Kluyveromyces lactis: one gene and its partners. The protein of the gene in region 2 interacts with the protein of the main gene of each other region in a biochemical or structural test. Links are inferred from orthologs where the notes say so. Each region holds a gene or a part of one and is shown on either strand. Other genes may lie near its edges.

Region 1 (11,705 bases), on a different chromosome or scaffold from region 2:
AAACACGTTGGGAAATTGACCATAAGGACGAGGAACGGGAGCATAAGAAAAGGAAACAGATGGCAAAACAGGAATGGGAGCATTATAAGAAGCTGGAGAATATAAACAAATCGTGGATAGATAGGAAAGAAGTAATATCCGGGAGAGAAAGAACATCTCGTAGATCTGCATTCAAACTGCGTAATATCACTTTCAGAGTCAATGTCAATGGAAAGCTTAAAGTATACAAATGCTATAAGACTAAACTTTGGGGGTATGAGAAGAACAAGAACGTTAGAGATTTGGTCTATAGGTTTTCCAATAATTATTGGAGAAATGGCCCGGACCACATAGTCGATAAATTAGACTATTCTAGATGCAAATCCGTATCATTCAGAAACATATCCGGAGACAGTCTAACATTATCGCGTGAAACAAGCAACGAGAAAGTCGATACTGATGATTTAACAGAGACGGAAAAGGAAAAGAATAATTTGGTACTATCGTCGTTGTTAGACAACTTTGATTTCGATAAACCGCTAGCCGTTGAAGAAGTGACAGCAGAAGAAGAAGAAGAGAATGCTGGTGCAGATTATGAGTATGAAGGTCTATACAGGGAATCTGACAGCAAACCGTTGTTTTCTTCGAGTATCTCAAAAGAAATTCCACGGGTCAAAGAGGGTGAGTTTTCTAAAACGGAGAATACAACAGCAACGTCATATGTAGAAGATGAAGAAGCTGACAAGGAACAAGACATGGACAGCGAGGAGGATGAATTTATTCCAACCTTTGGCGCTACTCCACAAGTGCCAGATAATTCAACTGAAAATACTACGAATCCTACTGAAGTTCTCAGAGATTTATTGAATCCCCTTGAACCTACATCATTCAAGTTGATTGAGGAATCCGACGAAGACATTGATCATCAGAGAGATGTACAGGAGGAACAAGTGGCATTACCAATACCTGAAGTTATTATTCCACAGAAATCGAATAACCCACTGTTTTTTCTACACAAGGATTCTCCGTTTTTGGTGGGTCAGACTAAGATTGCGAAAATAAAGCCACCTATTGCATTAGATGAAAAGTTCAAAACCTGGGAAGAAACGTTCTGGAATAGCAGAAGTAGTTGGACTAAAGAGATGAAACAAAGGAAGAGAGATGTAGTGAGACAAATCAAAAAAAGAAGGGACAAATATCACGGAAATACCGTACTAATCTAAATTTTGTAGCATTCCAACGTGCCGTGCTTTGAGTTGATTATAAGTGCGTTCAATATAACTTTTCATATAGACAAATATATAATAATACTGCATTTCTAGTTATAACCAAACTTTACAGCCATTTCTACGGCAGCAGCGCCCCAATCTTCACCATGGTTGTGCATAGTCTTTCCTTCATCGATTCCAGCCCTTGCCAACGCTTGCTCTTCAGTCAAGCAAGTTAATAAACCGAAAATGACTGGTGTGTTCAATTTACTAGAAAGACTCATAATAGCATTGGTAGTAGAGTCTGAGATGTACTCAAAATGCATCGTACTGCCTTTGATCAAGACACCGATAGGGATAACAGCATCTAAACGATGACCTTTTTCAAATTCTTTTTGAACAAACCTTTCAACGCCCCATGGTAGTTCAAAAGAACCTGGAACGGATTCAAGAATAATGTTTTCTTCCTTAACACCTAAGGACTGAAGTCTCTTAATGGCACCTTCTACCAAAGCATCGATAATTGTTCTGTTCCAACGAGCGTAAACGATACCAATTCTCAAGTTAGAACCATCATAAACTTGATCCAATTGACCCAAACCTTTAACAGCCATTGCAAAATTTACTAACTGTGATTTGAATGTTTAGATACAACGTATCTACTATCAGATAATATATATCTCTATATGAAATAGGATAAGCTTTATTCTTGTGTAATCGACCTATCTGATCTTAACTTTTAAATATCCATTCGCTTCTGGATTTTCATTTTTTGATCTTTTTCATATATAGATTTGTTACTGACAACCGAAGTGCAGATGTAAGTCATATCTGAACTGGAATAGTATTACGTGGAAAATTATGGCAAATACCGATACTGACGGAGGGAAAACACGATAGAAAATTGACCTCATTAGATCAATTCTAACTTGGGCACCAATCTGTATATTCAGCATCATATTAACCGTCGGATGAATGACATATAACAGTGATTAGGTGAGTGACGATAAAACCTGTAGCAAATGCGGAAGAGTACTTCTAAGTGTAAATATATTATAATACAGTAAATAATAAAAGATCATCTGTTTTTGTTTTCTGGCTAAAATTCGGTTGCATTCTCAATGGTTATGTCTCTTGCATACTGAGAACCTCCTCTAGTGTCCTTCGCAGCTGCAGTATCTTCTTCGGCGTCACCTTTGTCCTCCGCATCGCGAGGAACGTGATTGAGTTGAACGCTTGGGGCATATTTAGTATGCTCTAGATTGCTGAAAATATTAAGTAGCACTTTATCCAAATACTCCGGTGTATTGACGTTATACATATTAGATGGTCTGACATCCAATTTGTAATCAGGGCCATAATATTCGTAGTAATCGTTGTAAGGAAGTTCTTCATCCAAAATCACATTATTCAGAATACCCGTTTCGAAAGCCCATGTACGAGCCACGTTTCGCATTGTATAACCACCACCACCAACAATCATGAGAGGAACACCGAACGATTTCATGTAGTTGACACAGTTTGCGTGACCCTTCATTGAAAGGTTGAAACAACCTAAACGATCGCCGGATAAAGAGTCACCACCGCATTGGAGTACCACGGCAGAAGGTTGGTACCATTCCATAATTTTACCTATGACTGGTTCAAATACCGATTTGTAAGTGGCATCGTCAATACCGTCCCTTAATGGGACATTCACAGCATAGTATTTACCTTTCCCGACACCAGTATCTCTCAATTCACCAGTACCTGGGAAGAATTCCCCATATTTATGGAAAGAACATGTCATAACTCGATCCGTAGTATAAAAAGCTTCTTCTACACCATCACCGTGATGCACATCAATATCAATATAAAGAACACGAGGATGGTACCTTAACAACTCGATGATACCTAGCACTATATCGTTCAAGTAACAGAACCCTGAAGCTTCCGATTTTTTGGCATGATGTAAACCACCAGCATAGTTAATGGCAACATCACATTTGCCTCGGTTTAATCTGGCTGCACCCTCCATAGAACCACCTCCAGATATACTACAGTACTCGTACAAACCATCAAACACAGGACAATCGTCTCCAACGTTGAATTTCACACTCTCCTTTTGGAACATATCTAAATTATCTGGAGTGACTCGAGACAAGAAATCAATATATTCATCGGTATGGAACTGACACATCTCCTGTTTCGTTGCAGGTTTAGCCCTGTAAATTTCCATCTTCTTATACAAACCGTAATTCATAATCAACGAATGTGTCATTCTTATTCTATGTGGTTTCATAGGATGTCCTGCACCATAAGCATAGTTTCCCACATCAGCATCATAAAAGTATGCAACTCGCTTCTTCTCGTTAGCCTTCACCGTTATCGGGTCAAAAGGTTTAGCTTCGTATACCATACCGTCCACGCACAATTAATCTTAATAGTTTCGCTAAGTTGGAGAGCCGGTACAAATTTTTCACCTCTTGTTTATATAGCTTTCTTGGTATGTTTTCGACATAAATCAAGGTTTTAATAGAAATCACTACCTTCATTTTTCACCGTCTCCATCAATATAGAATTTCCAAGCAGCTAAAGAAAGAAGAAAAGCCTTAAAGAGATCTGTCATGTTACACGAGTTGAAGAAGATTAAGAAGTAGACCAACTTTTTACTGACCAGATCATCCTGCATGGATGAGTTAATATATTTGTTATATATGATTTATAATAATATTCGATATGATTACTTATTAACGATCATTGAGATTCGAAACTACTCTTTAATCTCAAGTAATGTCTTAATTCATCCTCAGAAACACTTGGTATTAGATTCTGTTGAGCAAGCTCGAAGTCTTGTAATTTTACCACGACCTTCAAGTCATTCTCGTTTGCCACGTTATCAAACCAATACCTCAATGATATATTCTTTTTATTTTCCATGTTATACTTCTCCCACTTTTCATCAACTTCACCAGCAACTCTAGTCATAGCGTTTAAAAGGGCATCAGAACACAATGCGTAGAAATCTGCACCTGTATAGTTGAACGGACATTTTTTGGCAATATCTAGTATATCGATACCAGATTCTAGTGTGAACTTTCTCGTCAAAGCCTTGATGATATTTGCCTGTTTTTTATCGGTATCTGATATCCCCAAATATAACATCTTGTCAAACCTACCGGGACGTAATAATGCTTCATCAAGAAGATCTGGCCTATTCGTAGCTCCAATTACGAACACTCCGTCTCCTCCTGAACTCATTCCGTCTAGTTCTGCCAAAAGTTGAGACACAATACGATCCATAACACCCCCAGAATCTCCCTGATTTCCTCTCTTTGGTGCCACGGAATCAAGTTCATCGAAAAAAATGACACATGGCTTAGCATCTCTTGCTTTCTGGAAGACACGTCTAACATTTGCCTCGGATTCACCAATGTACATGTTAAGAAGTTCAGGCCCTTTAACACTGAAAAAATTTAAAGAGAAGTTAGACGCAATTGCCTTCGCTAACAAGGTTTTACCAGTCCCAGGAGGTCCATAGAAAAGAATACCACTTCTCTTTTTCATACCAGATGAAAATAGTTCAGGGTGCTTGAGTGGCATATCTATGGTATCCATGATTTCTCCTTTGACCACATCCATCCCACCAATATCATCCCAAGTCACGTTAGGAATTTTAGGAGCTCCGATAGAGTCTGAGAATCTATCTCTTGCAATATTTATGACTGCAGTTATATCGGTCATATCAATTAGAAGGTCGTTCTGCTTTAGACGTTGGTAACATTTGTACTTGACAGCTTTGACGATTGATCGTATATCCATTGGAGTCAAACCAGCCGATTGAACAGATACTGTCTGCAATGGAACATTATGCGATATTAGTGACCTCAGTTTTGGAGTTTGGCTGTTCAAAACATACGGGTCAAAATACCATCGAAACATTTGTAACCTTTGCTTTTCAGTTGGCACTGGTACATCAATTTCAAATTTTATTCTGGACCTAACTATAGCAGGTATGTTGTCAATGTCATTGGTAGACCCCACGAAAACTGTTCCTTTATATTTTGTGGTGTATTCTTCTATTAAGTCTGCCATTTCGACATTCATTTGACGAGCCATTTTGGAGCTTGTATTATCCTGTTGATTTTGTTCATCCTCCAGTATGGTCTCCAAGTGAGATAAAAAAATGACTACTTTCTCAACATATGATATAATAGTCTCGATCTTAGCTCTAATATATCCGATAGTTTTATTGGTAGCGTCGGAGGTATTCGAGTTGGAGGTTAAACTTAAGCAGTCTACATGAATCAAATGAAACCCAAGTTCAGCACAAACAGAGCGTGTTAACATTGTTTTACCGACATTTGGAGATGAAGAATGCAGCATTATACTTGTACCAACGTTAACATTCCTTGCAGAACATTTGATTGCCGTATTTAAAATATCCTTTAACCTTTTGGCAAAGGGAAATGCATCCTCGTCGTAATGGAATAACGGCGAAAGATTATAAAATCTGTCGTAATCACAGATTGATTTGGGCATCAATTCTCTTGAAGTAATTTTGACAGTACTAAGTCTTGTGATAGAGCTGTCTATTATATGATACTCTTCATTTGAGTCACTTTCAATCTCTTCCACTTTGAACCAAACTAAGGTGTCATGCTGGCCAGAACGAATATCATCGGTAAACATCGATGCATAATTGGAGTCGAAAGTAATAGGTATTAAGTCACCTACTTTAACAATGCGCTGTTTTTCACTAAAATATAATGCTAAATGATGGGAAATAATATCTTGGTAGCGTCTCTGGGCATTAATTTGGCAGCCGATTCTAGATAATGTCACAGCATTTGAAACTGAAAATCTATTCAATGCTAGATTAGGCCTCTGTATGATTACTCTGGCATGGTTCATGAATACGTACCTTACCCTGGGGGAGACATATAATGAATCACATTCATATTCGTTGGGAGCGAATAAGACGAAAAGTTGAACCAACATTTCCTGCTCTTCAGCAATCACTCTGACAAATGTTCCGCTTGGGACACCCAACTGAAGAAGAATATTTGGTTGGACAAATGCGAAAAGGTCGTTGTCAGTTGTATCAGGTTGTGGAGGTGACAAAAATTCTACAGGTACCGGATCCAACAATGATTGGATTTTTACATGCAAAGAAAACAAATGATCGAACTCCGTGAACTCATCATTAGACCGCGATTGTTCTACAACATTTGAATCAGGCACCAATACTATTTGTGTCTGGTCCGTAAGTATACCGAAATCATTCGAACTTGAAGTCACTTTACAAAATGCCGGATACACGACCTGATTGACATTTAAAACAGTAATGCCAAACAATAAGTTAAACCTCAAAGTTAAAAATTTCCGTTGCTCTTCTTTTGATAATTGATTTAATTCATTGAAAAGGTCAGGGTTCAATGATAACACTAGGTTGTCCAAGTTAGGTAATTGCTGCACATAAGGTTCAATCTCAATTGAACTGAACATAGGTCTGACCTGAGATTGTTTTATGAAGTTTGTTGGTAGACCAGCTGATCCAAATGGTAGCGAATCGTCATTATCACAATGTGAAATCAGCGCCTGATGGTGCCATTTGTTATACGATGGAAGCGTCAGCTTCACATAATTCGGGCTAGCGCTAGAAACCGATTCAGTACCATAAAATTCGGTCCATAGATCTGAGGATAACACAATGGAAGTAGAGATAGCATGAGTAGACTCCAAAGATGCAATAACCATAGTGAACGACCCCGTTGATCGAGCGTCAGGACCTTGTCTGTTGGGTATTTCTTCAGATTCTCCAATGTGAAAATTGTTGATGATTCACTTGATGTTTTTTCTTGGAGAATCGTTTAATCGTTTAACTAAAAGAATATTTATCTAAGCATTTACATATATATGAAAGCTGGAGCAAGAAATAGAAAAGAAGAAAAAGCCAGGACTGTATGTGTCTAGCAATTAGAAATGCGGAGGATATGCTAAATTTAATCACGTGGTCCTTTTAGTATTACACTATTTGCTAGGAGGTCCCTTGCCTGGTTGATTTTGGAAGCGATAAACGGACTTCCACCTTTATCTGGATGATTCATAATCATCGCTCTTCGATGTTTCTGTCTCAACAACCTTTCATCGAGCGCTTCAATCTCCCGGGCTGAAATGCCCAATATCAGCAATGCTTCGGTCTCTGACATCTTGTCATAAAACCCTCCCGGGTATCTATCTAATTTCGTTAATAGTTCTGGAGATAATCTCGTTCTATATTTTGATCCAAACTGATCCAAATCCTTAAACGGAATATGAATGTTATTAAACTGCGCAATCATCAGTGGTGTCAAGCGACAGTACTTATCCCATGCTCGTAGCCCAGAACGAGCAACCACGGCAATCGTGGTTATTCCAATACCGACAATAATAGGCAAAACCATTGCATGTACCAAGAACGTATAAAAAAAACAGGCACAAGAAAGGAACGGTCTTTAAAAGTAGAATGTTCGTATCCTTCCCTGCAAGTATATCGTGATGTATACAAAAGAATGTGACGGTTAGCTCAATGCAATATCGAAATAAAATGGTCTTATTAAGACTTTTGGAATGTGCTCACCGTCTGATATAACTAAAACGCTTAATTAAAGTGCACACACTCACAGGCACGCATAGTATTTCAGGTTTCCGCAGATTCACTCTAAGATACTTAGCACAGATACTCTGTTCCTGAGCCCCTGACCCCCTGACCCTAGATTCGTTTAACGATTTTTCCTCTCTTGTGCTCAGTATATCAAATCTCATCTCATCTCATTTCTTTCATGAGGAAGTATTTCAGTTTTTGTTCTTTTCCCAGAGTAATAGAATATATCGTTTTTAACCTTCAACAAAAATACCACCCATTCACCACATACCTTCTTTTCTCACTTAAACAATTGAGATTTTCAAAATTCTGCATGCGTAATGCTGGTTGGTTCCCCTAAATTGGGAGACAAAGTACCTTAATGTAGAAATAGCGGTAGATCCTCGAGACAAGTTTTTCATTTTAAGGTTGGATCACTTTTTTTTTTAACAGCTTCTCGCAATATCAGAAACCAGCAATTTTATGATGAGTTGGGATTTGAATGAAATGGAGATTGGTAGCAGCTCTGCATTCATGTGTGATAGATAATGGGGGAATACGGATTTGAGTTTGGTGCCTGCCGGGCATTTGTGTAAAGGAGTTTTTTCTTGAAAATGCTGGGTATGATTGCATTTACTTTCTCTTTGTTAGTATTTTCAATGGTGCTGCCAAATTTGCAATTCCGTAGCACGATTGATCCTGTAAGAACAATGTATGATCTGATTTGACGCAGATCCAAGGCACCGTTGATAGATGGGAAGTGAATTTAGGATTGTGTGATGGGGCCCAGCAATTTTTTACCCATTTTGCAAGCCATTATATTACACAATGGCCCTGTGTACCTGCTTGCTGTTTTGATTGTGATTTATTTATTTATGTTTTGAAGAATCAGGCTTGCTGTATATAAACCAAAGCCAAATGGCAGGAATTTCAGTTGTTATGTTTTATTGTTTCATCACTAAGTTGTCAAATTCTTGTATTCTTGATTCGGTCAACTTAGATCAACCAACTTCCAAACCAATCGCATTCCATTGAAAGACCATACATTAAAACTAAGAATCGATTATGGTTGCTTTAAGATATTTGATCACGGGTGTGTTATTCACTGCCGTCTCTGCTAGGTATAGTAATGATACTTCGGTTGTATCATCATCCATTGCATCAACAATTTCATCGTCGTCTTCACTGTGGTCGGAATCTTCTTCATTATCACAGGTTTCGTCTAGTGACATACCAGTTTTGCCATCTTCCTCAAGTATTGACTACTCTTCGGTAACAGATAACTCTACCACTTCTGATGTGAGCCCTGTGACTTCTTCAGAAATCCCATCGCACACTACGTCTTCAAACAGCTCTTCGGTAACTTTTACTTCCACATCTACTTCGGACATATCAATTAGTACTCCATCAGCGGCTATCGAAACCGTTCAAGTGTTTGATACGCTGAGTCAGTCTCAAATATCAAGCAATCCAAACAATTGGTTTGTCATTAACGTTGACATTTCTGTCACAGCAGGCTTCACTGGTGACTTGTTTTTAACTGTTCCAGATCAATTCAGCAACTTCCCAGAAGGTATTTACGAAGTCCTGGCAGATGAAGACGTTATCGGTTCCGTTTCTCATAATTCTTCTGGTGTATTCAAGGTTAGCTTTGAAGATGTTGCTGAAGATTACTATGGATCTTTCAACTTCTTGACCAAACTGGCAGATAAGCCAAGCGAACCAACCACTGTTGATTACAGTTTCGAAGTTTACTCTGGTCCAACTTTTTCAAGTACTTTGACTTTTGAGACAAAGAGTTACACAGTATCCACCGTTGACACTGGTATTGATGAATTTGGTCGTCCATACTTTGCCGTAGACATACCATACAATGAATATTCAGGGGAATTGGAGTTCACTTCCGTAGCTGAAAGTGACTACGAGTTCGTTGCCTCTTATTTCCAAATTGTTACTGCTGTTGACTCTTTCAAAAACCCAACCGCTGCTTCTAATGTGACTGCTGCTAAGAGCAATTCAGATGAATCCACTATTTCCTACTCCTTCAGCTCTAGCGTATCTGGTGGCCAAGCGTTGCGTATTATTTACTTTTTATCCGCTGACGCTGGTACTACTACTTTGAAGAATGTTGCTCAATTGACTTATCCAAATTTGAGCGTGTACAAGAGAGATATATCGATTATTTTTGAGACTACTGCTTACTTGGAGCCAGTTTCCAACATTGAATTGAGTGGCATCAACTCAATTACTGTTTTGACCAGCAATGTAGACAACAATAACTCCACTTCCACTTCCACTTCCACTTCTATCCCAACTTCTACTATCACTTCAACTAACATTACATCCTCTATGCCAACCGTGACTTCTGTTTCCACATACAGTAACGAATCACTCACATATACTGTTATTACGAGGACACAAGATGGTGAAGTCACTGAAATTACTCAATTGGTTCCTGTGTCAACCCTATCATCCTCTTCTACATCATCCGCTTCATTTGAAAACACTACTTCGACTGCAAGGACATCCTCTGCCAGCAGTGACAATTCTCATTCTAAATCTTTGACCTCTTCCTCTGCCTCAAGCGAAGAGACTTCTGCGACACTCAGTAAAGACTCTGATTCCAAATTCGAGACTTCTTCTACTTCAACTGAAGAACCCACTTCGTCCAGAAGTAAAGATTCTCAATCTACATCTTTGACTTCTTCTTTCGCTCCAGTTGAAGAAACCTCCTCAAGCAAAAGTAGAGAAACCAGTTCCAAATTAACTTCGAACTCTTCTGAAGATGTTCCATCGTCATACGCTACTGTTGTTACTGAAACGGTCCATGGCAGAACTTCGACATATACATCATGGGTTTCCAGTTGTACAGCATGCCAAAAAACTGATACACTAGAAACTACCTCCCATACTGAAACCGCGATCCGTACTAATACTCCATCTACTGAAATAACCAATTTCCAAACCTTTACGAGCTTGGAAAGTAGAACTTTAAGCGGTGAAGAGACAGAAATTGGTTCGTTTGTGCCAGTTACAACTTTAGCGACAGATGTCGGAGATGCTGCAGAGAAAACTCAAACCTCTTTAAGAACATCCACCAGAGGTGAAGAGGTTTCAACCCTTCTACAATTCTTGGGTGCTTCTACATCATCTGCTGAACAAACACAAGCCGTAGTATCGCAATATTCCGGCTTTGCTAACCGTGTCGAATACGGCTTCGGAAGTCTATTCATTGCTATTTTGGCAATTATAATATGATTTCTTTAGTCTGCCCTTTTTTCATTGGTAGAAGCATTTAATGACTTATTTTGACTTATTTTAGCATCCTTCGTTAGTATTTTATACAGTTGTAACAATCATGATATTTAGTTTTTGGATTTAAAACTCATCTTATTTAAATACACTAAGTGGGTCCTTCTCATGGCTCTTTAAAGTGATTCCTTATCATCATGAGCTTACGCCCGATAGTGAAATTCTGGACGTAAAAAGAATAACTTGATTCATTAGATGTGTTCTATCGACGGTCTTAGAGTTAGTCTCGTAATCAAACGTTGCTGCAAGTTCACGCTTTCGCGATATATTCTATATGTATCACTCTGAACCGGAAAAAACAAACCTTGATTTGCATATGGATCAAATGGATCATCAGCTCTTACCTGGATTGGTAAAAGTAATTCCGCCCAACTGGCACCCATCACGCAATTGAAATTTGCAGACCTAGATCCCAAATCAAAAACATTGTCAACTGATCCCATATTGCAATTAATACTATCTCCATATATTTCTAGATCATGTCTGATATTACCCCATTCGTACTGCTCTATAGTAGTCTCATTTTTAGTGACAAGCCATATTGTGTAGGTGGTAAATGCAAAAGTGGCTATTGCGGCAATGACGCTAAGTACCCATACAAC
Region 2 (10,854 bases):
GTCATCGCTATGTTCTTCTCTTTACAAGATCTAGAGGCTGTTGCTTCATCCAATACCGGAATGCCAATCTTGGAAATTTTCCGTCAAGCTACCAAATCTACTCCAGGTGCTGTAGTGTTGGGTTGCCTCATCCTTTTCACCTCATTTGGATGTGTTATTGCATGCCATACATGGCAAGCAAGATTGTGTTGGTCATTTGCTAGAGACAACGGTATCCCATACTCTAAATACTGGGCTAAAATTGATCCTGAATTGGGTGTGCCATTGAACGCGCACTTGCTGTCATGTGCCTTGATTTCGCTATTGGGTTGCTTATACATGGCTTCCACCACCGCTTTCAATTCTTTAATTACTGGGTGTATTGCGTTCTTATTGTTCTCATACAGTGTTCCGGTCGTATGTCTGTTGGCGCGTAAACGTAATATTAAACATGGCCCATTTTGGCTAGGAAAATTCGGAGCGTTCTCCAATATCGTTTTATTGGGTTGGAATCTTTTCGCTTTAGTCTTTTTCTGTTTCCCAGCTGTCATGCCAGTGACAAAAGATAACATGAATTATGCATCAGTCGTCATTGTTGGGTTCCTATTATTCTACTTAGGATTCTGGCAATTTAAGGCAAAGAAAGTTTTCTATATCAGAGAAGATGAAAACACCGATAGCAATCAGGAGTCAGTAACAACTGAAGCTTTCCATGCTTATGATGCTAAATGATAAACACTGCTTCCTATCGCATTTCGTTTCTTGTCTTTTTTAACGTTTATTCACCTGTTTAATATACCTACTAAATATAATACTTGCATTGTCTTTTGAATTATTGTTACTAGATATATACGAACTGAGGTACTGCTGTATCGGAATTAATTGAGAATATATTATCAATTATACGGATCCTCCGTTGCTATATTAATTATATATTTGTCTCTTGTTGTAATTCAGCTGGCGTCAGTAAAAAGAAATGTTTTTTGATTATTGAAAATTTTATATAACAAAGCTGAGATGAGATGAGATGACTTAAGTGCTTTCGAATGATATGATTGCAGAATCTGCAGTAGTAGTGATACTTAACCATTAGAGCTCAAGCAAATAGTCCAGAATGTCAAAAGATGAATTAAAGGACAAGAAGAGAAAGGTGGAAGATGAGGAGTTGAAGAGTAAGAAAAAATTGAAGAAGGACAAGAAAGACAAGAAAGACAAGAAAGACAAGAAAGACAAGAAGGATAAGAAGGAGAAGAAAGAAAAGAAGGAGAAAAAGGATAAGAAATCAGAAACTGAAAGCTTTGCTGCTTCTGCCTCTCAATCTGATATTGATGAATTTTTGAAGGAAAATGAGGTTACAGTTAGCGACCCATCAGGTTCCAATATTGTACCATATTTAGACTTTTCCCAAGTGTCGTTTATTGATCAGATTCAAAAGGAAATTTCTAAGTTCCCAAAACCAACTCCAATTCAAGCTGTTTCCTGGCCATATCTATTAGCTGGTAAGGATGTTATCGGTATCGCTGAAACTGGTTCGGGTAAGACTTTTGCTTTCGGTGTTCCAGCTATCAACAACATTGTCACATCAGGAGACAAGTCAAGTTCCGTCAAGGTACTTGTTATCTCACCAACTAGAGAATTGGCCTCTCAAATTTACGATAATTTGATTGTTCTTACTGACGCGTGTGGTTTAAGATCTTGTTGCGTATACGGTGGTGTTCCAAAGGATCAGCAAAGAGAAGATCTGAGGAGATCCCAAGTCGTTGTTGCTACTCCAGGTAGACTGTTGGATCTAATAGAGGAAGGCTCTGTTGATTTGAGTCATGTTAACTACCTGGTCTTGGATGAAGCTGACAGAATGTTGGAAAAAGGTTTTGAGGAAGATATCAAAAAAATCATTAGACAAACAAGATCCACCTCTAGACAAACGTTGATGTTTACCGCGACATGGCCAAAAGAAGTTCGTGAACTTGCTTCAAGTTTCATGAGTGAACCGGTTAAAGTGTCTATTGGTAACAGAGATGAACTGTCAGCAAACAAAAGAATTACTCAGATCGTGGAAGTTGTGGATCCGTTCAGAAAGGAAAAAAAACTGTTGGAACTGTTGAAGAAGTACCATTCAGGCCCAACAAAGAACGACAAAGTTTTGATATTTGCCTTGTACAAAAAGGAAGCCTCTCGTGTTGAAAGAAACTTGAAATACAACGGTTACGATGTTGCTGCCATTCACGGTGATCTTTCTCAACAGCAAAGAACTCAAGCTTTGAATGAATTCAAAGCAGGAAAATGTAACTTACTTTTAGCTACTGATGTGGCAGCCAGAGGTTTAGACATCCCAAACGTGAAAACCGTTATCAATTTGACTTTCCCTCTAACAGTAGAAGATTACGTTCACAGAATTGGTAGAACCGGTCGTGCTGGTCAATACGGTACCGCACACACATTGTTCACTGAGCAAGAAAAGCATCTTGCAGGTGCCCTTGTTAATGTCTTAAATGGTGCTGGTCAACCTGTTCCTGAGGAGCTCAAGAAGTTCGGTACTCACACAAAGAAGAAGGAACATAGTGCGTACGGTGCATTCTTCAAGGATGTGGACCTATCAAAGAAACCAAAAAAGATTACATTTGATTAATTTAAATCCGTTATAAAGACAATTCTTGTATTTTTTAGCAATCACCCCCATTATGTACAGTAGTTCATTCAATACAGAGTAAATAAAAGTTTACAATTACTCTTGCATCGAAGTTTGTACAATGAATGTTCACGATAAAAATTGAAATTAAAGACGTATTAAATATGCGATATTCAAACAATGACTTTGAAAGGCAACGAAGAATGGTGTTGAAAGGGAAAGCATTAAAGTATAAAAGGGGATACTCTATCGAAGATCTTCTTGTACCTTCGCCTTTTATTTTACAGTATTAGTACAATGGAGCAGTGCATAATTTTTGAAATACAACTGAAGTGATAAACAAAAGGAAATTGAGAATCTAAAAGAACATCGAGTACCATCTACGGTGAAGAGTTTGCATCAGTTGAGTGTATTGGCGCATTTCACCCCAGCAGTCTCTACCAAAGTTACACCCAGCCATATTGACAACGAAGTCATGTTCCTTTTCGTTATAGAAATAGCGCAAGTCATACTTGAAATCTGCACAAGCACCTGGTGGGAAAGCATTGATCTGCCTTAGTGGTAGAAATGCGATCTTCTCTCTAATCCAAGGTTCGTTAGCATACAATGCTTCTAAAGCGTCTTGTTCACGATGTTCCCAGACCATATGTTTTTGTTCATATCCGACTGGGTCCCACCATATATCGAGAAGAAGCTCAGTCCATTCAGTGTTTCTCATTAGGAAAGAACCCAAATTAAAACCACCACAGTCCTGTGTAATTAACATATCTGACGGTTGTGAATAGTCAACATATGCCACATCGGTAGCTATATGCAAAGGATTGAAAGCTTCCAAAGTCTTGTTTGCGATTTCATCTAGTCTATCGAAGATATGTTCTTCCAAAGAAAGTTGGGGCTCCATGATAAGAGTTTCCACGTCTAACCACCAAAACCATTCAGCATTGGGGAATTCCCTCATAGTCTGTTTCATTATATCAACCTTTTGCCAGCCCTCTCTGTATTCATGGGAGTATCTCTTTGATAGTGCCTGATCTTTAATGACCAATCCGTAACCATGTCTTTTGGCGTATGCACGTTTGTTTTCGATAGAAATACGCTCGATAGCCCATTCTTGTTCCGATTTCCACTTTAAAACACCACCGCCACCACTATTGACAGCAACAATTATCACCACCTTGGGTTCAGCTGCAACAAGTGAGAAATCACTTAACCAAAATAATATGAAAAGTATGGAAAACAGCCATAGGACGTACCTCTTATATTTTGAAAATGACGACACGTAATTGGAATCCAAATTTAATGGCTTTTTCTCATCCAATTCGTATGAGTACTCATAAGGTGTACTCGAAGTCATTGATCCTATCTAGATTTTCTGACTGGTCTCTCGTTCACGTACAATATACAATAAATCGGATCAAGTTGGATGCCTCAGAAAAACAGCAAAACGCGATCAATAGTATTTTCTGCTCCAAGCAGTCACACTATATTTCCTTAACGTATTGAAGTACTAACGAAATCACTTAGATACACAAACAACAACCAGTAAATGATTGTTTTGTACTACTCTGGAGTTTATCTATAGAGAACATATATTTTTACTCTGTTGACATTACTTCAAATTCTTGCAACTCGCTTTAAAATGAAGAAATCCAAAACAAGAAAATGTTACCCGGTAGAAATGATAGAATCGCAATCTGTCTCTAGATACCGCGACAGCTTACCATAACACTTTGACTGGTACACTGATCGTGAGCATGGACCTCTGCACTATTCGTTGAGGAATACAATCGAATGACGACTACATATATGCGACTAAATGCTTGTAATTAATTATGCGAATGTATTTTTCCGCAAAACTTGGTGAAAGATCAATTCATTATGAATATGAGGATGGTCCTATCAAACAAAGACTATTCGCTGCGTTGCATTATCAGAAGTTAAACTCATTACGAAATTGCTGTAGATCCATGCCCGGCATGACTTTTTCTAGCAAATCTCTCCTATCCATGGCGACAAAGGAACGCTTTAAGGTCTCCAGAATATTGTTAGATTGCACGACTGATCCAGTAATTGGAACATTCTCTACTTCATGCATAGATAGAGCAGAGAGCAGAGACTCTGCAGCCTCTTTATAACAGCCAATATTCATTGACGAAATGGCCAAGTTATAACGAGCTCTCACAAAAGACGGTTTCAAGGCAAGGGCCTTGTGGTATGCCTGGATAGCTTCTTCGCTACGGTTTGAATTGGCCAAAGAGGCTCCCAAACGGTTCCACATTAATTCGTCATTTGGATTGACTTCTAATGCGGTGCGGAAACAGTCAATTGTCTTACCAAACTCTTCATTGGCATAGAAAAGCGTTCCCAAACCGAGCTGAACTTCTGGATCCACCTGAGGCAAGGCGTTAGCTACTTGCAAATACTTCGTGATTACTTGTTTGCTCAAATTAAACCTATCGATATTGGCCTCATCAATGGTAGGGGAGCGTGTTAACTCAGGGTACTTACTATCTAGCCATCTGTTGAGCATGCTGAAAGCGGTCAGATCATATCCCTCATTAATATAACTGATAGAAATTGTCATGAGTGCCTGCTGATTAGTGGGGTCTAGGCTTAAACATTGCTCAAGCGCACTAATACCATTCATTTCTTTTTCGTTTTGTGTTTGAACCAATCCAAGCTTTAACCATGCATCTACATGCGCGGGGTCTTCTTGCACAGCAGCTTCGAAAGCCAATGCAGCTTCACTTAGCTTCGCCCCATTTTCCATTAGGATACATCCAATTTCATAGGCATTTGGATTATGCATGTATTGGTTATCATTATCAAATCTGTAAGGTGGAATATGTGTTGCTTTACCAGTCATATAGCGAGCGTAATCTTTCTCCCATTGAGAATCACTTGTTTCCAAATTATTATCAGCCGTCTCCGCTTGTAACTTATCCCAGACTTCTTGGAAGTCTGCTTGATATCCATCCTCCACTACTATCTCCTCCTTGGTTTCCTCTTTATTGTCCTCCATGGTCAAATTTTCAGCCACAGCCTTCTCCAAGGCTTCAAACTGCTCATTCCACTGCTTGTCAGCGAGAACACCATCATCACTGGACATTTGCGGTGTTTGCTGAGACATGTGAGAATAATTATGTAATGAAGAAATACCTGTATGCATCATCGGCCTCCCGATCCGGGACATGCCAGGCCTGTATGAACTCATAGAATTTGTGTTGCTTATTCTTTCAACATTATTGACTCTGCTGGCTAAACCCTGTTGAGGAGATCTGCTATTAAATTCATTACCCCAGCTCCTGGAATGCTGAGCTGTATCGCCTGCTGACATATTACTGCTTCCACTATCTTGTTTCTTTAGTCCAAAACGAGGACCATGCGAAAGAATAGCACTAGGAACAGGCGCCATTCCCAACTGACCATCAGAAAAACCAGGTGACCTGTTCATAAACTGGTCCATTTGAAAACGATTTGCATTGGATACTTCATTCACATGAGTTTTGAAGTTTTGAGCAACATTACTGGCCGGATTTTGATACCCCACTTGTCTCAGAGCAGGATTCTGCTGGGCATGTTTATTCAACTGCGCGAGAGGATTTGATCCAACGGAACAATCTGCACTCATAATTGTATTATGTCAAATGAGATGGGATATTTTCTTGTTTTTAAACTCTACCACCTCCCTTGATGAGCTCCCTTAGTCTATGCTTAGTAAACCCTTTTAGCTCCCTTGATGATTGATAATAAAGCTACTAGCTCAAACAAATGAACACAATGACAAGTTCTGCGTAGAAAGTATGTAGATTTGATATGTTGATGAATCCAGTTATATATGAATTCAACCTTGGCAATGTCATGAAAGTGTTCGGTTAGTTTGTTTAAATCATGATTCATCAATCTCTGGAGTTTTTCAAAGCTCCAGAGATTGATTGAGATTATCGCCATGATTTTTCGGAACAGGTTTGGGGCGATGTTATTACCCGGACATATACCGTATTAGGTTATTCGTGGCGACAATATCAGAAACTGTGCCTTTAAGTTCTTTAAGCTTTAAGACGGTGGAGCTCATCTCATTTCTCAAAGGTATTGCAATATTACACGATTGTAAAGATGGGTAGAAAGTATCACACTTTACCATGCTAAGGCCCGTCAGTATTGATGACTTAATATCAGACACAGTTCCTGCGAAGAAACCTCGGTTTCTGATCAAGAAACGAACATTTCCACAACCAGAAGAAGAAGAAGCGTCAAAGGCATTGTCACACACCGTTATCAAGAGGAAAGATAATTATAGGAATCTCGACGAAGACGAACTATACGAGGAACAAGTATCTAATGAACCAGATGATTTACTATTCCTAGCAAGAAAATCCGCCGACCTTTTGAAGAAACGACAAAATGAAGATGAAAGTATTGTCGACAATTACTTGGGGAAGCATTGGTCTGAAAAGAAATATGAAGAGATGAGCACTAGGGATTGGAGGATTCTATCTGAAGACTTTAATATCTCGAGTAAAGGTGGAACAGTAGAGAAACCTCTAAGAAACTGGCACGAATTAAAGTTAATTCCGGAAGATTTGTTAAACATTATTACAAATGATTTGCACTACAACGAGCCAACATCCATTCAGCGCAGTACAATACCGAATGTTATAAACAATAGAGACTTCATTGGTGTTGCTAGTACTGGTTCTGGTAAGACACTTGCATTTTTGCTTCCAATTCTTATAAAACTTCACGGTATACCGCCACTTAATTCAATTACTAAACATGATGGTCCTTTGGCATTAGTATTAGCACCAACAAGAGAATTGGCACAGCAAATACAACATGAGGGGCAATCAATTACGAAACTATGGAAACGACCTTGCAATATCGTAAGTATTGTTGGTGGACATTCCTTGGAAGAAATTTCAGCAAACCTAAGAGATGGATGTGATATATTGGTTGCTACACCCGGAAGGTTACTTGATTGTCTAGATTCTCATCTTTTATTTTTAAAGCAAGTAAATACGTTAGTGTTGGATGAAGCGGACAAGATGATAGATTTCGGTTTTGAAGATCAGTTGACTACAATTTTAGCAAAGACAGAAACAATTTCCAATAGACAAACAATGATGTTTACGGCTACATTCTCACCTACCATAGAAAAAGTTGCTAATGGCTATTTGAAAAAGCCAAGCTATGTCACGGTTGGAGGAGAAGAATCTAAACCAAAAATTAAACAAATAGTACGGTATGTTCCAGATGAAGAAGAAAAACTTAAGATACTTGTAAAAGATTTCCTACCAAATTACAAGGCTCCTATCATAATATTCATAAATTACAAAAGAACAGCTGACTGGTTATTCGACAAACTTAGAGAGGCTCGGTTCCGAGCAACAACTCTTCACGGCTCAAAATCACAGGAACAACGTGAACACTCTTTAAGTCTTTTGAGAAATGGGAAAGTAGATATTCTCATAGCTACTGATGTCGCTGGAAGAGGTATCGATATACCTAACGTTTCTTTAGTAGTGAATCTACAATTTCCTAAGTCGTTTGACAGCTTTGTGCATCGTGTAGGTAGAACTGGACGTGCTGGTAAAACTGGTACTGCACTTACTTTTCTAACCGAGGAGGAAGATCATTCTGCCATGGCTAAATTGTTCGATTATGTCAAAAAGAACGACTTCACCGGAGAAAATTACATCTCAAAAGAAGCTATGTCGAAATACAATGTTGACAAATCTTCATACAAACCAATTATTATATGAAAGGACTAGACTTTTTTCCTTGAAATTTTAGAGTCATGCAATATGAATTAGAGTATTTAACGTAAATAGTTACAGTGTGCTAGCTAATAATGCATTTAGGATTCCAGGTCAATCCTGGAAATACCCAATGGTCTGACGATTCATGCGTTCTTGTTTGAGCCTGTGCCTTGTCTTCCATTTTTTCGGATGTCTGATTCAAAATTATCGTGTTTTTTGATGAAGGCCAAACCGTAGACTGACGAAGTTCAAGTAAGTGAACTCGACAAAACAACTTCGACATAATTTGAAAACCAGGCATTGATAGCTTTTATATTCATTTCAAATATTTGCAATGTCAGTAAAACAAATCTGAAATCCGCTAGATGTTGTTCATGACGGCAACCAGTAATCCAAAATATACCTAATCTGGAAAAGTCAATGTGTCACATGACTTCACGAAATCTAGTCTTCATCAGATGAATATTGGGTTACCAAAGGTAAAACCGACGATGGTTTTGAAACTGTTATATTTGCAGCAACGTTGGTATTGGTAATAGTCACTTTCCTTTGTTTCAACTTATCTAAAATAGTCTTATCTATGATTGCATTCTCCCTAATGCTGAATCTTTCACGACTGTTCGCCTGCGAATCTCTCACTTCGTTGATTTCTTCAACTTTACGTTTTTGATTTACAGTGCCTTCAGTACTAGCCACTAGTTGTTTTATAGCTTTCAAAGTCTCTTGGGTTTGTTCTTCCAATTCTCTCTTTCGTACAGCTGGATTAGGATCCTCGTTCGCCCATTTCACAAGCAACCCAGTTCCCTCCTTCCTTAGATCCCACTCTTTATCGGTTGGTATTAATAGAGTCTGATTGCCCATTGCTTCCTTAGTAAATTCGGAGTTACACTGTAATTTGAACTTGACAAAGGCACAATTCTTACTCTCCACGTATCGAACAGAATCCAATTCTCCAAGTTTCCCGAACTTGTATTTCACTCTATTCTCAATCTGATGTGGTTTCAAAGTTTTGTTGTTGAGTGCCCCTGTAATACCACCCACGTATAAGACACGGTTAGGTTTCTTGAAGGAACCTACCCCACCCATATCATCTCTATAATCAGCAAATTTCTCTCTTCCAAAACAATCTAACGCAGAGGAATGCAAAGCTAACCTCGCAAAATCATCTGGCTCTGGAATATGATGCAAGTACCGACAATTTTTGCCTAAACAGCACATTCCCTTAGCGAAATACAAACAGAAATGAATCCGACCCTCTTTATCACCTTTAGTGATACCAGAATCGTTCTCGGGATCAAGCGAGTACGGTGTGACGAACCTAGTGGACCCACTTTGCCCCTGTGACCATTTGTTGTACCATACGTTGAAAGCCAAACCCGTCTGAGGCGGTACTGATGAAGGTAGGTCAGACTCCTGTAACTGAACCCTTGCTGGTCGGTTCTTCCAATCCCCAGTCATAATATATTGATGACGATGACCTTAATATTTGGCAATTTGCCAAACCAAGTATTCTTTAATGACCTCGAACAAGCAAACAGTTTGAACCGTCCAATTTATGCAACAACAGATACCGTATTATAACGGTGAAAACTGTATCTTGTCGAGCACACATCTTCCATGTTCATCTCATCGCAGGCCAAAGTGTTTTCAATAAACTTCAAGGTTGGAACTTTTCTTTAGTGAAAACGATCATGATCAAAAACAAAATGGAAACGAAAAAAAGATAAGTCTCCCGGGGGCGAGTCGAACGCCCGATCTCCAGATTACAAATTGCTTTGTGTTTTCAAATTACAGTCTGGCGCCTTAAACCAACTTGGCTACCGAGAGAAGTTACTTGTGTGTTGTAATTTTCAATGATGCTATAACCAAACTTCAAGGTTTACTAAGACTACATTGCCTGACATTAAGAGGTATATGGAGTATTTAAACCTTTTAAAGTATTTAATTATACAAGTGAAGTGATCACAGGACAATAATGCCCTGCACCTGGAACAGCTAATTTCTCCTACAGAGTTTAATCATTGTACATATTGTTCGCCATTTAAAACTCCAAGTTTTGTATGAAATTAAAGGGACTCATCCAGAATAATGTTAGGCGATGGACATTTCTACAACTGCTATGTACCACCTCCGAAACAAGACGCTGGCACGATATTCTGAAAAGTTGTTTATGTGTCGCATGGATTAATTTATGTCGTCCCTACTGTAATTGATACTTTATTTCTTTTTCATGTTACTCGGTACTGGAAAATTTTCATTTTTTGTTAACAAAAAGAAGAGCGATGAGTATGAGAATTGAACTGTTGAATGAATCGATGAACCTATCTTGCTGATGTGATATTGATTCCTTTCTCAATCAATTGCTCGCTCTATTTGAACCAGGGGAACAGTGAAGAACTATACATAATAACAAAGATGGCCAAGGATAAGAGTGTATCAACAGAAGACAACTACGAAGCTAGACTTCCTGCCGTTCTACCATTTGCA
Region 3 (10,718 bases), on a different chromosome or scaffold from region 2:
CACCGCCACAGGCGGTGCCGGTAAGAAGAAGGCCAAGGCTACTAGGGCTAACCTCGGCGGTGCCTTCAAGAAGGATAACGATTTCGACCTAGGTGGTAACGATAACTTTGACGATTTCGGAGAAGACGATTTCATGTAATAGAAAAAAAAAACAGATCTCATCACATATCATCATCACATATCATATATAGAACGTAAACAATTGAACTGTTAATATTGCCCAAGTCTTGTTCGCTAGCCCGGTCGCTCTTTCTCTCTCTCATCTACCGAATCTGAGAGCGCTCTTGACTCTCCACTGGCCCAGTGCTGCCTCAAACCAGTACAACAAGATCCGATCCACGCTACATCCCACGCTACGAAGTGAAAAATCATCATGGAAATCCGGCAACAAAGAAAAGCCAGAGAAGACCAGAGGAGAGCAAGCCGGATATGTATCAAAACAAGGGTGGATGAACCAAGTCGTGGAGTCGACGGTATATGATTGTTCCTATTCCGCGTTTGAACTGTTTTTTTTTTTCTCAGCTATGAACTTGTACTTATATATATATATATATATATATGTATAATCGAACGCCGTCTGTATTCCGCATATCAATATACTATATAATAAGGTAACAACTTGGTAGAGAAACTTGGTAACTTAGCAGCTGTTTTGTGTACTTGTTATCGCAAAGTGCAAGAAAGACCAGAAACGCAACTCAATGTTCAGGTTTGTTGGAAGATCCGGTTTTGCTTTGCGTGGTTCGCTGCAACTACGTAAGGACGTTCTGCGTTCTAGGACCACTGCCGTTGCAAAAAGACATTATTCGTCTTCTAACGGTAATAACGGCGGTGGATTTTCGTCCGCCATTTTAAGCGTTCTTGGTGGTTCTTTAATTGGTGGTGGGTTTGTTGCATATGCTCTAGGCTCTCAGTTCGAGAAGGAAAAGTCCGTGAGTGATTTGTCCATTGCTAGATTGGAAGACCTTGATTCTCCCGAGTACTGTGATAAGGAAACTTTTGCTAAAGCTCTTGTTGAATTGAAAGATGTCTTAGAAAACGATCCTGAAAACTTCACTGTGGCTAAGGACGATTTGGATGCTCATTCGGATACCTATTTCAACTCTCATCATGCTGAAGCTAATCAAAGACCAGAAATTGTTTTGTATCCACGCAACACAGAAGATGTTTCCAAATTATTGAAAATCTGTCACAAATACTCTATCCCAGTGATCCCATTTTCAGGTGGTACCTCTTTGGAAGGGCATTTCCTACCAACTAGACCAGGGTCTTGTGTCGTCTTGGATATTTCAAAATATTTGAATAAGATTATTCAATTGAATAAAGAGGATTTGGATGTTGTGGTACAAGGTGGTGTTCCATGGGAAGAATTGAACGAATATTTGAACGATCATGGTTTGTTGTTCGGTTGTGACCCTGGTCCAGGTGCTCAAATCGCCGGTTGCATTGCTAATTCTTGTTCTGGTACCAACGCTTATCGTTATGGTACCATGAAGGAAAACGTTGTTAATATTACTATGTGTATGGCTGATGGTACTATTGTTAAGACCAAGAGAAGACCTAGAAAATCGTCTGCTGGTTACAATTTGAACGGGTTAATTATTGGTAGTGAAGGTACTTTGGGTATCGTTACTGAAGCTACTATTAAATGTCATGTTAGATCTACTTTTGAAACTGTCGCTGTCGTTCCGTTCCCAACTGTCAGTGATGCTGCATCTTGTTCCTCTCATTTGATTCAAGCCGGTATTCAATTGAATGCTATGGAATTGTTGGATGATAACATGATGAAAATCATCAACCAAAGTGGTGCTACTTCAAAGGATAACTGGGTCGAATCTCCAACTTTGTTCTTCAAGATTGGTGGTAGATCTGAACAGATTATTCAAGAAGTCATTAAAGAAGTGGAAAAAATTGCTTCTCAACACAACAATACCAAATTTGAATTTGCTACTGATGAAGATTCCAAGCTAGAACTATGGGAAGCTAGAAAAGTTGCTCTTTGGTCAACCATTGATACCGGCAGAAAGACCAACCCAGATGCCAACATTTGGACAACCGATGTTGCTGTTCCAATCTCGAAATTCGCAGATGTTATTAATGCTACCAAGGAAGAAATGAACGCATCTGGTTTATTAACCTCTTTGGTTGGTCATGCTGGTGATGGTAACTTCCATGCATTCATCATCTACAACACTGAACAAAGAAAAACAGCTGAAACTATTGTTGAAAATATGGTCAAGAGAGCCATTGATGCTGAAGGTACTTGTACCGGTGAACACGGTGTCGGTATCGGTAAGAGAGACTACTTGTTGGAAGAAGTTGGTGAAGACACTGTTGCAGTTATGAGAAAGTTGAAGCTCGCTTTGGATCCTAAGAGAATCTTGAATCCAGATAAGATCTTCAAGATTGATCCAAACGATCATCAACATTAATCTGACCCTCGGTTCTATCATTAATGAATGAATGACGCTAATGAAAATGGTAATACTAACTAATGTTATACCAGATACGACGACGAACTCTTCCCTAAAAACAACAAAAATAGACTATAAGGTAAATTCCCTGTAATTATTACGCTCAATCCATACAAACTGCCAGTCATTATTGTTAATCATATTCAAAATAAAACACCATAACTTTGGTATTTAAGAGCAGCACTACTAGTCATCATTAACCTCACGTTCCTCTACATCAAAGGTGCAAATGGACTGTCTGATCAAAAACTGACGCAAGTCAGAAATTAGGTTCGGCAAGATTTATAGCCGCAATGTACTCATACGTAAGAAACTAGAAAACTCTATAAAGCCTAAAAAAACCTGAGATATAAACATTAACCAAGTTAAGAACCAGCACATTTCTAATCATGTGACTAACGAGTTAGATGAGATCCGATTCATTGTTCACCATTCATTATATTATTCACTGAACTTTCTGCGGATTGTCTAAAACGACAACATAGTAACACAAATTCATTCTTACAAGTTTCATAGACTATTCCGATGGATAAGTTGACAACCGTCCTGAATGTCTTTCAAAGTGAGACTCTCCACCTTCTGCAGCAAAGTGATTGCTCTATTTCTGTTCTTTTTTCCTGCTCTGTATGTCTGTCTTTCTCAAACGCAAAATGTTGATAGCAAAAAAAAACGATACTACACGGTGTTTGACGACAGTTTGCTAATTGAAGATGCTAAGAAAATATACGCACATATACATGGCAGTATTCGTGGCAGTTAATATTCTCTGTGGGATTCAATCTGTACTGGTATTTGTGGGATAGGATCCCCAGACTCAGGGAGGGTTTGAATGTGTACTTGATATAGGTTATGTAATATTATCAGCAATCGGATCATAATGATGAGACCCCGATGATTAAATGGATCGATGTCCTTGGGCATTTCATGGAGGTTCAAATTGCGTCAACTCATAATGCTGCTCAGAAAGAATCTGTCGAGTTCTATTAGGGATGGAATACGTATTTCTGCTACAAAAGCAAGTTACCATCTCTCCAGTACTATTGTCGATAGATATTGTACCATTTAGTAGCAAACCTTAACATGTTGAAAAACAGATGATACAAATCCAGATATATGATACATACTAGTATGTATATATATATAGGGCATGGTCGAAAGAATAATGCCTCTTCTAGGATTAGACACCTTTAAATACACCATTATCAAATTCAGATACGAATCAATCAAGCCCGTGATCGATTAACGCAACGAGAGAGCAACACTACTATACCCACATATTCCTATTTTCAAAATGATGATTTCAAAGACTATTTACAGAGGTTCCAGAGTCCCAGCTGCCTCTAGATTATTCACAAATTCTCCTATGGCTCGTTCTATTCACAATTCTAACATTGATTCTAAAGGTATCAAAGAAACTTTAGAAGACGTTAACAAGAAAGTTGGTAAAGCTGCAGCTGAAGGTATTGAGAAGACCGAAGAAGCAACTCATCACTTGGGTGAAAATTTCCAAAATGTTGAAGAAAAAGTGAAAGGGATATTCAATATGACAGGGCAGGATGCCAAGGAAGCTGCTGACACGGCTTCAAACAAGGCCAGCGATCTTGCAGAGAAAGGTAAGGAACACGCCCAAGCCAAAGGTAGAGAGGCTGCTGCCAAGGGTAAGGAAGCCGCTGCCAAGGGTAAAGAAAAACTGGAAAATGCTGCTGACAAACTAAACGAATAAAAATAAGGAATGAGATGATGATAAAGTCCGGAATGTCGATGTCCTCTTTTCCCAATAAACCAAATTACCTGATCCTTTAAGCAGCAGGGTGACAATAAACGCCCTTGTGCTAATATTCTAGCATTCCAAATGCCGTATCTGGGGTTCGAGCAATGGAATAATAAATGTGTAGTAACCACAAATACATATATAACGTGAAACAAGAGAAAAATACAACGTAATTCTTCTTAATACTTAGTCTGAAACTTTCTGAAGCTATCACATCTTTAACTTAGCATTTGTGACCCGCCATATTCAATTCTTGTCCATCACCATGTAATCACTGTTGATTCTGTAATAGATGGTCTACCGAGGTTGAATCCGCCAGTTCTTCAGAAGTATTCGATTTCTCAGATTCAACAGGTACGCCATTTTTCCTTTTCTTAATCAACTCAAGATAGTTGTATGGAACGTACCCAATATTTCCTTGTTTTGTTCTGACTTTCCACCATTCAGAGTTATTTCCTAGTGGATCTTTCTTGGAAATGATTGCCATTAGATCTCCTTTCTTTAAGTTACATTCAATTCTTGGATTCTCAGGAACGAAATCATAGATCGCTCTTGCAAATTCTAGGTTATTAGGATCTAAGATTTGTTGTGCCATAGCGCCGCCAGCTATTTTGGCTTTTTGGTGCTGTTGTAATTTCTGAATAAATTTGTTCAAAAGGTACGGGAAGCCGAACACAGCTGCTAAAAACACAATCAATGGTTTCCATGAAATTCTTCTACCCTTTTTCTTCGTCAGATCTGAGTCCCTGAATTCTTCGATAAATTGTTTTGAAAGATCTGAGCCCTGGCTCTTTCCGCCCTCTATCCCTAAGCGCTTTTTGGAAGGCGCTACTCCCATCTTACCACCTGTAACTCTGTACAAGATCTTTTTTACGAATTTTATCAAGGCAAATATACCAAAGAATGATCCCAAAAGCTCCTTCATATATTGAAACTGTTCCGCAACGGTTATCATAGTGAAAAAAGAGTTATGGGTAGCCATATATGTAGCTTCTAACATCTGGGCGAAACCAGCAACGGCTCCTATAAGCCCTTCTATTAACTGGAAAGTTGCCTGTGTTGACTCTGCAATCCCCGAGGGTCCTCCATTCATACCGTTCATACCGTTCATCCCATACATTGATCCGAACCCTCCCCCATACATCGACCCTAAACCACCGCCGTACATCGACCCTAAACCACCACCATACATAGAGCCATAACCACCTCCGTACATGGATCCATATCCACCACCCATGGAACCCATTCCATATCCTGTACCTAAACCTCCACCATACGCCGAACCATATCCAGACATACCATTTCGAAGAGGGTTTCCCCCGTTCAAAGAATCCATACCCTCATTTAAACCGTTCGGTTTGGATGGTAAGTCAGGCTGATTACCAGATGGTTGCAACGCACTGCTATTCTCAGTAAAACTGGCATCAGTTCCTAAACTCTCAACTCCATTTTTCTGCTCCCAGGGCTTCGGTCTGGAAACACCTGCCGATTGTGACATGACTACTGATGCTCTAATAAATATGAACTTCGATCACAGCACTTAATAGAAGCCAAAACCGCTACAATCGATGTGTATTCATCACTGTCGTTACCTGTATTTAAGCTCCACGACATGATTCAATGTTACTTTTAGAATCATCGTCAATCTTTGAAATATGCTTTGGCCGGGTAACAAGTTACTATTTCCTGCGTCGTGACTTAAAGACAATAGTAGATATCGTCTTTTCATCAGCAATAGACGATATCTTTTCCACGAAGAACCGTTGGATACTTGAATGAAAATCCTTATTTCCTTCTTTTAAATATTTTGTATTTAAATTGGTTCCGAATGACACGCATATTATGTATATATGTATCCTTGTTATTATTGAAAGAATGTATAAAAGTTCGAAATGAAGCAGCTGCAATGTGAGTTGAATGTATCTACTACAAAGCTTTATCAGCAGCATTGGATAGTTGTAAATATTGAATCGAAAATGTTGTCCGTATTATGCTTGAAAAAAATTTGTAATTATCTTATGAAAAGTCCTTCTTGTGTTTGCTTTCTTCTAAAGAAGTTAATTGTATGCGTAAATTGAAACCATGCTGTAGTCTCGTTGGATTAATACTCCCCGATAATACCTCGCCTTCGTCACAATCTAATGTCGTAGTACTGTTATGAGCGGTAGTGTTGTCGGGATCGCTGATATGTAAACTAGATTCATCTGGCTTACTCTCCGATTTGGATTCAGCCAGCGCGTCGAGTTGTTCAACTGTTAAGTACTTTACCCTGTTTTTCCTTGGGCTCAGTCTGGATTCCAAAGCCTTCTGAATTCTTCTGCATTTAGCTAATTCTTTCTCTAGCTCTTTTATCTTTCCTTCAACAGCGATCTTTACTAGTGCATCTGATTTGAATGGTGGTTTATTCGATATATTCTCCCGTGACCTGTCTGAATTGTGAATTATGAAGTCTGTATTTGATATTCTTGGTAATTGTTGTATATGCTGTAATAACGAGCTGCTTTGGAAGGTCAAGGACTCATTTGCTCTCGTTAAACTATTGTTGATATCTTTTAAATTCTCGTTATCCAAATGCAATTTATCGTTATCCAGTTTCAACTCATCAATCTTCAGTTGAAGTTTCTTGATTGTCAGATCTAGTCTTTCTTTGTCGAAATGATGATCGTCAGGATATTGGAAATCATCTTTATTATTCAGCCACAGCTGTTCGTCATTCATGAAATTTGATAGTATACTATTTCTTTTGTTATTGACAGCCCCATTGTTATCATTTAATCCATTTTGTACCTCCTCATCAGCTAGCATTTGAAGTTCAAGATCAAGTGTTACAGTCGGTGAACTTGAAGTATATGAATCTGAGGATGGGAACCTATCACCTATTTTTGGAGGTTCTAGCTCAACGTATTTTGTGGTATTACTTAACTGGGATGTACTAGACATTCCTCTTCTATGCCCAAGAGCAGGTTTGCCATTGGACCCACGATTTAAGTTATCATTTCCATTGGCATTCATTTTTGTGCCAACTATTGGAACATTTTTTATCACTTGATTACTGTTGTTGTTCTTCAAAAGGTATTCTTTCTTGTACATCTTAGGCGGTTGCACTTTCACAGGACCAGGTATTGGAGATATCCTAATTGGAGAAGTAGATCTTAGCATTGATGAAATAGGAGTGGGATTGGTATCTCCTCCAATTGAGTTCGACCTAGACCTAGACCTTGGACCTATCGGTATCACGTTTGCCATACTATTATTGTAATCCAGTTGCTTGTCCATAATTTTTGACAAAGATGTCCTAAGTCGTTTGGGGTAGGCACCGTTATCGTCTAGATAAATCGATGAGCCATGAGCAATCATTGTATCATCAATGCCACCTCCGAGCATCTTCTTTTTGTTTCTGTTTTATATTGGATGAAGTTTGCACTCCCGTACGCTATTGTGCCTATCTCTAATTTGCGGTTTACTGTGCTCTAAGTTAGACCTCTAGAGGTAAACTTTGCAAAAAGCTTCTTGTTAAGAGAAATTTTACAGTAGGGGATACTCTTTTTGTCTCTTTATTCCAACCCTAAATGAATCTCAACTTGTTTTGCTGAATGATGTTATGAAAGGCTGATGCTCCACTGACACAAGGGTTCGACTATAAAGCTAGCAAGTATTCGGTGCTTTCCTCACTTTGTCAAGTTTCAAATACCCTTTACCTTCCCCAACAGAATATTAACGGAATGTAACTTCGCACAAAACTCCTTTTCCAACAACGCAGGTGCTCTCTTTGAGAAAAGGAAGTGCCTTTTGTCGACCAGTTTTCCTCTCTTACCAGTAGGATGTCAAAACTCTCCGCCAAGAGACTTTACGAGTGATTTCGATGAAGGCAGAGAATAACTAAACTTAAGAAAATCACCTCGTATAACAATAGTTGAAATACTTTTGTTAAGCTCAAAGAAAAAAATCCTTAAAATGGGTAGGATCCAAAACTCACAACTTCATCTACCCTCTTTCTCTTCCGTTTGTGGGAACTGTGTTACCGAATCCGACTGCTCATCGCTTTCGACATGTTTAAGTAAAGAAAACAGACAATGTTTACAAATTACCCTTTTAGGACATAACGTTACTAAAATCAGCAGATCGGCTAAGAAGTATAGACAGGTCGGATAAGTCAAGGTATAAAATGCCGGGGTTCGAGTCTTGAGTGGGAACTGACTTTCAATGGGATCTTGTTTCAAGAACTTTATGAAAGTATATAGATATCTATATATATATATATATGGGACTGAAATATTACTAGTATATCAGAGGTATTAATGTACAATGGTTTTTACCGGAAAGAATTGAAAGTCGCATCTACTAGTACTCTTGGTATAATTAAATATAATCTGTTCGTTTGTTACTATCCTAGTACTTCAAAAACTTCTGGTAAACCATATTGTCAGTTTCATCTTGATATTTATATCCTAGATCGTCCAAGAACTTTTGGAAGATTTCGTTGTCTTGTGGAGGCACACTGATACCAGCCAAAATTTTCCCAATATCAGCGCCATGGTTTCTGTAATGGAATAAAGTCAAGTTCCAGGAAACGTTCAATCCTGATAAGAATTTAGTTAGTGCACCTGGTCTCTCTGGGAATTCGAATGCAATGACTTTCTCATTTTCAATTTTAGAAGCACCACCGACCAAATATCTACCGTGAGACTTGGCCATTTCGTTGTCAGAGATATCTACGGCTTCGAAACCTAAAGCATGCAATTGTTGAACCACTTGCTTGATTTCCTTTTCACGGTCAACGACGTTAAAAGATGTGTAGATACAAGCGGTTGGTACATCGGAGTCATTTTCGTGACAATGCTCGTTATAACGGTATGAGAATTCAGTGACAGCTCTTGGATGGATCACATTCTGTAGCTTCTTGAAAGAACCTGGAGTATCTGGAATGGTGACCAACATAAACACTTCTTTACCTTCACCCAATACAGCACGTTCTGAGACGAATCTTAAACGGTCGAAATTCATGTTGGCACCGGAAAGAATTGGAACGTATGTCTTCTTAGAATGGTCTATTTCAGGGTGTAGTTGAGAGACATATTTTTTCAAACCGGCAACAGCAAGAGCACCACTTGGTTCGACAATTGATCTTGTGTCCTCAAACACATCTTTAACGGCAGCACAGATTTCATCGGTGTTCACCAAGATAACTTCATCGACTACGTCTTGACAAACACGGAATGTTTCTTCACCGATTAACCTCACAGAGGTACCATCAGCGAACGTTCCAACACTTGGCAATGGGGTACGTTTACCGTTCTTTAATGAAACATCTAACGTAGCGGCATCGTAAGTTTCCACACCAATAACCTTGATATGAGGTGCGATTCTCTTCAAGTATGAACCAATACCTGAAATCAAACCACCACCACCTACGGCACAGAACACTGCTCCGATGTTAGACCCATTTTGTACTTGTCTTAGAATCTCCATGGCAATAGTACCTTGACCAGCGATAACGTAAGGATGATCAAATGGTGGAATATCTGTCATACCACGTTCTTCAGCTAACCTCGCACATTCCAATTTGGCTTCATCGAAGTCGTCACCGTATAGAACCACTTGGGCACCTAATCTCGACACGTTTTGATATTTGATTGATGGTGTTGAAACAGGCATCACAATGGTAGCTGGAATGTTCATATGATTACTTGAAAAGGCAACACCTTGTGCGTGATTACCAGCAGAGCACGCAATAACACCAGCATTCTTCTGTGTTTCGTCTAGCTTGGCAATCATGTTATAAGCACCACGCAGCTTGAAGGAAAACACTGGCAACAAATCCTCTCTTTTCAATTTAACGTTAGTGTTTAGTCTAGAGGACAATGACACCGCACGTGAAATGGGGGTCTCTTCAATGACTTCATAAACAGAAGACCTTAAAATTAAACGCACGTAGTCTGGAGATCCATCTTCCAATCGTTCGTCAGCCTTCAAATGGGAGTACATCCTCTGCAAATTATCAGAGAACTGGTCCGTGCTAACACAGCGAACAGAAAGTTTTAATGCATTTGAAGCACGAAGAACTCTAGGAGTTCTCACTATAGATTGTAGCATCACAAAATTAGCTCACTATAGGGGCGGTATACCAGATTACTGGATGAACTGGTTTGATACCCTTTCAATGCAAATCATCCCACATACACCAATGGTCTTGCAAATGACTCTATTTTTCTATTTAATACCAAAGATCTGTTTAGGCCATTTTTTCACGGTGAAAAGATTCAGTACTATCTATGTTGATCACGTGGACCCATAAAATGAACATCCAAGATACGTATGCCTGTCGCTACTTTACGAGTTTTGATGCTGCTAAAGGAGTCTAGTTGAATATCCATTAACAGACTATTAGATCGAATTAAACAATAGCTTACGCTTTGTGTGATTGTATTGTTCTTTCAGCAGTTTTAGCTCTTTTTGACATTACTCAATATCTC

What was found.
Region 1: the proteins of PEX5 (region 2) and PEX6 form a complex in vitro, tested with the Saccharomyces cerevisiae proteins (2 studies listed by BioGRID). The link is inferred for Kluyveromyces lactis from reciprocal best matches to the Saccharomyces cerevisiae genes PEX5 and PEX6.
Region 3: the proteins of PEX5 (region 2) and PEX13 form a complex in vitro, tested with the Saccharomyces cerevisiae proteins (4 studies listed by BioGRID, with this or other methods). The link is inferred for Kluyveromyces lactis from reciprocal best matches to the Saccharomyces cerevisiae genes PEX5 and PEX13.

The regions. Positions count from the first base shown.
Region 1 is NC_006041.1:183,891-195,595, forward strand, and holds PEX6 (AAA family ATPase peroxin 6), read right to left. Parts: upstream 6,927-11,705; coding exon 3,924-6,926; downstream 1-3,923. Other genes in the region: NOP8 (Nop8p), read left to right, coding at 1-1,202; lumazine synthase RIB4, read right to left, coding at 1,298-1,801; histone deacetylase RPD3, read right to left, coding at 2,287-3,585; MDJ2 (Mdj2p), read right to left, coding at 7,172-7,612; EGT2 (Egt2p), read left to right, coding at 8,857-11,049; palmitoyltransferase PFA3, read right to left, coding at 11,295-11,705. UniProt on the Saccharomyces cerevisiae protein: Component of the PEX1-PEX6 AAA ATPase complex, a protein dislocase complex that mediates the ATP-dependent extraction of the PEX5 receptor from peroxisomal membranes, an essential step for PEX5 recycling.
Region 2 is NC_006039.1:1,336,955-1,347,808, reverse strand, and holds PEX5 (Pex5p), read right to left. Parts: upstream 6,240-10,854; coding exon 4,539-6,239; downstream 1-4,538. Other genes in the region: HNM1 (Hnm1p), read left to right, coding at 1-711; RNA-dependent ATPase DBP3, read left to right, coding at 1,094-2,608; MNN10 (alpha-1,6-mannosyltransferase), read right to left, coding at 2,967-3,962; mRNA splicing protein PRP28, read left to right, coding at 6,751-8,370; active spliceosome conformation promoter CWC2, read right to left, coding at 8,812-9,825; snoRNA-binding protein NHP2, read left to right, coding at 10,783-10,854. UniProt on the Saccharomyces cerevisiae protein: Receptor that mediates peroxisomal import of proteins containing a C-terminal PTS1-type tripeptide peroxisomal targeting signal (SKL-type).
Region 3 is NC_006041.1:1,752,166-1,762,883, forward strand, and holds PEX13 (peroxin PEX13), read right to left. Parts: upstream 5,744-10,718; coding exon 4,517-5,743; downstream 1-4,516. Other genes in the region: HCR1 (translation initiation factor eIF3 core subunit j), read left to right, coding at 1-139; DLD1 (D-lactate dehydrogenase), read left to right, coding at 702-2,432; KLLA0_E19713g (uncharacterized protein), read left to right, coding at 3,766-4,197; MMR1 (Mmr1p), read right to left, coding at 6,262-7,629; threonine ammonia-lyase ILV1, read right to left, coding at 8,635-10,338. UniProt on the Saccharomyces cerevisiae protein: Component of the PEX13-PEX14 docking complex, a translocon channel that specifically mediates the import of peroxisomal cargo proteins bound to PEX5 or PEX21 receptors.